Macaca fascicularis: one gene and its partner. The protein of the gene in region 1 purifies or fractionates together with the protein of each later gene. This does not show direct contact. Links are inferred from orthologs where the notes say so. Each region holds a gene or a part of one and is shown on either strand. Other genes may lie near its edges.

Region 1 (4,134 bases):
TGTTTCCTCTTTTTAATACAGCACACTTTGGAATAGCAAATGAAAGTTATCTTGTTAAGCATTAAGTGCCAAACTGGTACAAGCAGCACAATCACAAATATTTGAGTACTGAAGCTGACTCATAAAAATCTAAAAATATTTCATGCTTTAGGCTTTCAAAACACCATCAGTTTAACCCCTTTTCTTCCATCAATCGGATTATCTTGAAACCAATGTAAAAAATATTTTTAACCCAGTTCTGGAAACTGTAATTTAAACGCAGTGAAAACAGAAAGCCACATGCAATTAGATTCTAAGGCATTATCATTCCTACATTTGATTCTGGATTTACTCAATCAGTTGTTAAGCACCTGTGCTATTTTACTAAAATAAATACATATATTTAATTTACGATAAGGGTTGTCTAAGAGTCTTAACTGGTATCCCTTTCAGGAAATATCAAAATCCTTAAATAAAAGGCCATTTTAAAATTAATCGTAATATAACTGAACTCTATGTTAAAATTTTCTAAGGATTCCAGTTTAAATCCCAGTTTGTGTGCAGGAACATGTTTATCCATGTCAAATCTGAAAGGATATCTAACCTACTGCAAAATCAGGGGCAAAAATTGATATATTTGGGCCACAGCCAATGTCCTTAACAGGTTGAAATCTCTTTTCAGATCAAATCTAAGTGCTATCATGTAAAATCAAAACTTTTTAAGTTATAAGCATAGGAAGCCAGTGAATTTAGGACAAAGGTTTTTTTGGTTTTTTGGGTTTTTGTTTGTTTTTTACCATACACTGACTTGGGTTACAACGTATTTCTTATAATTCTTTTGAAAATAAATACATTTTCGTTATTTTCAAAAGGAATAGAAATGGAAGGAGCTGGGAACAGCCAATTTCAAAGAGTCACCAAGTTACAATTTTTCGATATGAAGTACTTCTGTTGTAAGTACATGCACTGGGTGTACATTTTTAAGAATATGTAATATACTTAGTCGATTTAAGATATTTACCAAAATAACCCACTACAAAAGTTACAGAATACCAAACACTTGACTACAAGTATGATAAATTATGCTGAAAAGGAAAAATCACTCAGCATGTGACATTATCCCTTTGAAAACAACCCCACGTGCACACACACACACGCACGCAAAAATCAAAAACTATCAGTTTCTCTTTTTTCCTCCTAGTTTTCAAGAATGCTAGAGAAGTCAAGTTCTGTGAATTACGCAAAGGACAGCAAACATTAAACTGCCTCCATATTTATGCTACCGAACTTCCATTTTTAAAGCAAGCATCTCAACTCCCCAGACACCACCATCCACAGAAACCATGCAGCTATCCAACAGACTTTCAGTGTCACCATTTATTATTTATAGCGTTAAATGGGGGAAGTGGCTCTGATGTCACCAACCCTACCCAGTGGAATCACTGACTCAATAAACATTTTCACATTGAAGAAAATCTGGCTAGGAAAACATTTTGCTGGGTTAAGTAGATTCTTCCACCTCTCTCCTCTCAGCCCTGGGGAAGAAGTTGTTACCGTGTTAGGAGAGATACAAAGAAACTGTCAAGGCTTCCACAGGAAGAAATCCTGGACATGTCCATTTGCTGATGCAGACTTCCTCTTCCCAACTCTCCAGAGCCCAGTTTGATTTCCCTAATGCTCACATTGGCAAGTAATATCTGCCATATTTTATTTCTTCCACCAAATCATCCCCTTCTAGCCACTCTCTCACGGTCCTGTTCCTAAAACCCCCTTCTGGCTTCAAATCCTAAAGCTTCGGAGGAGGGTGGAGGGTGTCCACGGACCGGGGAGTCTGGCCTGCCTGCCAGTGGTTTCTAACAGAAGAGTGTTCGCTTCCCCCGGGGGCCAAGGATTCCCCTTTTTTTCTTTCTGAGAAGAAAGAACTCGCGGCAGTGATGAGGATGGCTCCCTCCCCACTCATCCCCAATTTCCCAAAGCAGCTCTGGAAAACGTGAAGTTACGGCTTCTCTTTCCTGGGGGATGGAATCCAGAGTACCTGGGGCCTTGCTATGCAAACATCCCTCTCCGCCGGGTAGGAAACCCTTTGTCCGAGAAGTCGGACACCACAAGGGCCCGGGAAAGAGGCCTCCTTATCCGCCACAGCTTCAAACCCGAAAGCTCCCTGCCCCCCAGCTCTGTAGGGCCTATCCTGGCATCCACACAGACCTAGGCTGGGGAGTGGGTGCTGAGACCCCTCCTAGGACGCGGAGGCCCAGGCGGCCCTGACCCATCTCCTCGGCACTCCTTCCCACCACCTCACTCGGCCTGAGTGGAGCTTGCAAGCGCGGTGCGGGCCTGGGCCGAAACAGAGGAAAGAAAAAAAATCCCTTTCTAAAAGAAGGAGAATGGGGTGCTAGAGCGAGTGCGACCTAAGTCTACAGCATAAACGAGCGAGGGTCGTCCGAAAGCTGGGACCGGAGACGGGACAGGGGGTGGGGGAGAAACGAGGGGCATAGAGGGGGCCGGGCCAGGACCGGCCGGAGATGTCGAGGGATCAGAGGAGCCCGCGCCGGGTCCGAGGCCAGGGTAGGCTGGGGGCCCGGGTCCGGGCCGAGGCTTCTGGGAAGGGCCAGAGCCGGCCTCGCACCGGACGTTGAGGTGGGCAGGCCCGCCCGGGGCCGGACGGACGGAAGCACAGACGGTCCAGCGGGCCGCACTCACCATGAGCTCGATGGTCTTGTCCTCAATCACCGAGTCGGGCTCCATGGCGGCCCCGGCGGCCCCGCCTCGCTCTCCCCGCGCAGCAGCGAACGGCCCGGGCGGAGGAGGCGACGGCGGAGGCGGCAGAGGCGGAGGCGGCTATCGCACCCACTCTAGCTGCCAGCCCGCCCGGGCCGCCGGCAGCTCCGCCCTCCCCCTCGGCGAACGCAGTACGCAGAGCGGGGACTACACCTCCCAGCAGGCGCCGCGGCCCGCAGAGCGTTGTGGGACCGAGCCTCTGACACCGGGCTGCTGGCTCTTGGCAGCCCGAAGCTGAACTCCAAGCTGACAGTAGCACTGGACTGTGGACGTAGGACTTGCACACCTGAAGAGTTAAGAGCTTGCTCATGGTAGGGCCTCGAGAGCGCCACGACTACGTGTCCCAGAAAGCCGTGCGCCCGGGTTCTCCTTCCGGCTAGCTTCTCCTGACTTCCTGGCAGCCCAAGGCTGCCCAGACCGGGACGGAAACTCCGAGGCAACTCCTCACTTGTCGGAGATCCTGCTTGTGCGACCCATTTCCGCACATGCGCGGTCCATGCCGCAGTGCCCACTCGACGCCTAGGTAGCTGCGCTGCCCGTCCGCTAGTGTCTGGTGGCAGGGGCAGATGGTGGAGACAGGTGGGTTCTAGGGGCGTTAGGAAGGTGTATAGGCCTGGGGCTTAGGTGTGAAGGGACCAGCGAGTGAGAGAAACTCTGCCCGGGGAAGAGGCTCTGAGAGGATGGGCATCCCGGGAGTGAGGGTTTCGAGATTTCTTCGGGAAAATGGGGGTTTGGGGAAATGTGCTGTGGTGCTGTCTGTATGTCACGCGACTTACGGGGAGCTGAGAGATTAAAGGGAACCTACGTATATCGAGCCCCTTATTCATTCTTTCAGAAAATGGTTATTTTTTAAGCATCCAGCTTCTGCTGCGTACCGTTCTAGGCACTGAGAAACAGCTCTGAACATGAGAGACAATATGCCCCTGTTCTCATGGAGCTTAATTCTGGTAGAGGGACGACAGACGTTAACCAAGAGAGTGGCTAAGAAGGAACACACAAGCGGAGACTGCTTCTAGTGAACTCAGCCTCCAACTCTGTGTAACTTAGGTCTGTCAGTGCCCTCTAACCAAATCCCACCAGGAACACAAGGGTCGTTGAACAAACTGGGTTTATTACTGGTTGCAGTGACTGAGAACACACATTGAGGAAAGATGGGGCTTCTCCGGTAAGAGTTGTTAGTGATTTGGGAGAGGTTTAAGGAAGTGAAAGCTTCACTGGATTAGCTACTGTCAGGAAGAGAGGGTCGTTCCATGATTGAGCATCTCAGTTCATCCTACCTAGAGGAAGGGAATTCTAGATTGAGGTAAAGAAACAGCAGCCTGGCCGGGCGCGGTGGCTCACGCCTGTAGTCCCAGCACTTTGGTAGGCCGAGGCAGG
Region 2 (3,648 bases), on another chromosome or scaffold:
AAAAACTTACCTTTTCATTTTTCCTCCTGCTGATAATTCTGTCTAAACCATTGAAAGCACCAGATGCAACAAACAGGATGTTTGTTGTATCAACTTGTACTGTTTCTCCACGGAGCTTTCGGGAATTCTTTTCTGGAACATTGACTATTGTGCCTTCTAGTAGTTTTAATAAGCCCTAAATAAAAAACAAATGATTTATAGCATCACCATATCAAGTGCATTATTTATTATACTTTAGACAATGGGATTCAATGGGGAAAACAATGTGTGATTATGGTCAATGAACATAACTAATGAACCTCCCACATTTCTATAACAAGAAAATCTAATGCATTTATCACATTAATAATTAATACATTTATTTGAAATGGTTATAGAACTTGATGCAATTCAGGAAAACAGTCAACCTAACAGGTTGTTTTTGATAGTAAAGACGTAATTCTGACATAAACACAGAATTATGACGGTATAAAATGGTGTTCAAACACGGTGGGAACATTCAAAATTAGAAAATAGTTGAAGATGTCTTTCACATAAATTATAATTCTATTCCACTTATAGTATTAAACTTTGAGACTACCTATATTTGGAGATGCTTTTATAAAAAAAAATTTCCAGCACCTAAGTGTGATTATACCTTTCTATGTCTCTGTCAAAAAGTGAAACAATCTTCCTCACTCTTTAATAGTTTATGTCATAATTAGTTACCATTAAAAGGTCAAGTTGGCCAACAGATCATTGTGACTTCAATTATGGCTCTGCAAGGAATTAAACATTATTTTATACCTATCTTCTAACTAAGTGGAAGGAATAAGAAGCATGTACATAGTTCATTCATGTCTAGTTAGAATCATAACTTTCTTCAAGAGTCTTCTAGAAATATTTAACTGGGCCTTTGAGGAATTAAAAAAAAAACACAAAGATTAAATTTCATTTTTTCTGTTCTTCAAAATATTTTAAATTTCCTAACAAGGTAATTTGCTATTTCAAATTGTCAACAACTTTCTTTTAGGATCTAAACTATTTCAAAATGATATGCGGAGTTTGGGGGTGGAAGAAATAAACAAAACAGAATCTAATTGAATGTGAAACCAAACGTACAATATTTGGGAGGTTGATGTATTCCCTTCCTTTTAGTGGGCTTGAACAAAATATTCAACTGCTTACTTGCTGAACGCCTTCTCCACCTACATCCCGTAACTGATGAATGCCTGGCACACTGCCAATCTTATCTACTTCATCCAGAAAGACAATTCCTATAATTTAAGGAGGATTCTATTTATAATATGGAAAAGATATACACAAGATAGCCTCAGCTTTAAAAGACTTAGGTAGCTAGACAGCAAAGTTACTTGAGCTTTCATACTTAACATATGCAATAGCTTGACATCATAAAAATGCACTTTTATTTCTCCCATCCATCATTTTGTACAACTGCTTTGTAATCTGCTCTACGGAATAACATTTATGTATGGTAACAAAATCTCCTTGATAACAGTGATTTGCCCCACTAATGTATACGAATTCTTTATAGTATGGAAGCGGGAGGTATCTGCAGTGCTAGTATTAGTAAAACTTTAGCCTACGCTTTCCCACCTATATTCTTGTCTTAAAGAAATTTGAAAAGGAAGCTGTCATGCTCTTCATGTAAACAAGAACAGATGACAGATGAAGGAGCAACGCAGCATCCATGACATCCTGTAGGTCAACAGGCTAAACTGTTTCTAGAGTCATCTGGTACCGTCCTCCCTTGCCCCTGCCCTGTCCTATCTTAATCTAAGTATTAGAAGTCTTGAGGGGAGTTAAGAAAAGCAATGATAGTATTAAGGATCTAATGGGATAGTAATTTGGCTTGTTTTTAACCCTACCAGCCAGCTTAGTGACAATAAGGCAAAGCAAACTATGTGGCCCTTAATCAGTATGCTAGAAATTATGTAACAAAGGTACTTTTACATAATTACAGAATTTTAATCCTTGACTCAAAACAAGAATTGTATTGTCTCTTAATATTAGACTGATTCCCCAATATACTAAATCTGGGGACAGACCATGCTGAAAACATACCTTGTTGTGCTTTCTCCACATTGTAATTGGCATCTTGGAGTAGTTTGGCAATCACAGATTCAATATCCTCGCCTACATATCCAGCCTGAGTCAAAGTTGTACAGTCACAGATAGCAAAAGGGACATCAAGGCATTTAGCTAGGGTTTGTGCCAGCAGAGTTTTACCTACAAATAGAAACATTAACTAAAAGTTTACTAAACATATATTGGCACACAATTTTTCAATAAAAATGCAAAATAAATTTTAGTAGTATATAATAAAAAGTTGTCAATTGCTACATTTTCTTCTGCTATTATTTTTTTTTAGAGACAGGGTCTTGCTCTCTCACCCAGGCTGGAGTGCAGCCTGTGATCATGGCTCACCCCAGCCTCAATCTCCTGGGCTTAGGTGATCCTCCTGCCTCAGCCTCCCAAGTCCTGGGAGTACAGGCACATGCTACCACACCCAGCTAATACTTTATTTATTTATTTATTTATTTTGAGACGGGAGTCTGGCTCTGTGGCCCAGGCTGGAGTGCAGTGGCACGATCTTGGCTCACTGCAAGCTCCGCCTCCCGGGTTCATGCCATTCTTCTGCCTCAGCCTCCCGAGTAGCTGGGACTACAGGTGCCCGCCACCACGCCCGGCTAGTTTTTTGTATTTTTTAGTAGAGACGGGGTTTCACCGTGTTAGCCAGGATGGTCTCGATCTCCTGACCTCATGATCTGCCCGCCTCGGCCTCCCAAAGTGCTGCGATTACAGGCGTGAGCCACCACGCCCGGCTACTTAATTTTTTTTATAGAGATAGAGTCTTGCTATGTTGCCTAGGCTGGTCTCAAACTCCTGGTCTCAAGTGATCCTCCTACCTTTGTCTCCCAAAATGCTGGGATTACAGGTGTGAGCCACCACATCTGGTCTATTATTTTTTAGATATAGCTGTTTTTTATTTTATTATTCCTGTTAAGATGTTAGGGACTGGTCTGAAGGGGAACACCAATGCCTCAAATTCAGTTTGTATTTTTTTTTTTTTTTTTGTGAGACAGAGTCTTGCTCTGTCGCCCAGGCTGGAGTGCAGTGGCCGGATCTCAGCTCACTGCAGGCTCCACCTCCCGGGTTTACGCCATTCTCCCGCCTCAGCCTCCCGAGTAGCTGGGACTACAGGCGCCCGCCACCTCGCCCAGCTAGTTTTTTGTATTTTTAGTAGAGACGGGGTTTCACCGTGTTAGCCAGGATGGTCTCGATCTCCTGACCTCGTGATCCGCCCGTCTCGGCCTCCCAAAGTGCTGGGATTACAGGTTTGAGCCACCGCGCCCGGCCTCAGTTTGTATTCTATGCAGGAATATTGATAGTGTATCTAGGCAACTGGCCTTAGATTTTCTTCTCAAGAGTCATAATACTTCAATCACAAGATACAGGTTATAGAATCATTTATATTCTGATTTTTTAAATGAGTAATAAATTTTCTCAGCAAGTTATTTACCTGACCCAGTTGGTCCAAGCAGCAAAATATTACTTTTTTCAAGTTTTATGTCATCATGAGAAGAATCCAATACTTCACCTCCTCGTTTTTCCTGAGGTATTTGTTGATTTACCTGTTGCTGCATT

What was found. Proteins that work in one complex are often made in the same cells at the same time.
Region 2: the proteins of FBXW11 (region 1) and CLPX purify together in Homo sapiens (affinity purification with mass spectrometry; 5 studies listed by BioGRID and IntAct, with this or other methods). This does not show direct contact. The link is inferred for Macaca fascicularis from reciprocal best matches to the Homo sapiens genes FBXW11 and CLPX.

What each region holds. Positions count from the first base shown.
Region 1 is NC_088380.1:178,789,929-178,794,062, forward strand, and holds the start of FBXW11 (F-box/WD repeat-containing protein 11), read right to left. Parts: upstream 2,861-4,134; 5' UTR 2,725-2,860; coding exon 2,680-2,724; intron 1-2,679.
Region 2 is NC_088381.1:41,742,593-41,746,240, forward strand, and holds part of CLPX (ATP-dependent clpX-like chaperone, mitochondrial), read right to left. Parts: coding exon 3,524-3,648; intron 2,230-3,523; coding exon 2,065-2,229; intron 1,257-2,064; coding exon 1,168-1,256; exon of another isoform or gene 1,102-1,167; intron 176-1,101; coding exon 11-175; intron 1-10. UniProt on the Homo sapiens protein: ATP-dependent chaperone that functions as an unfoldase.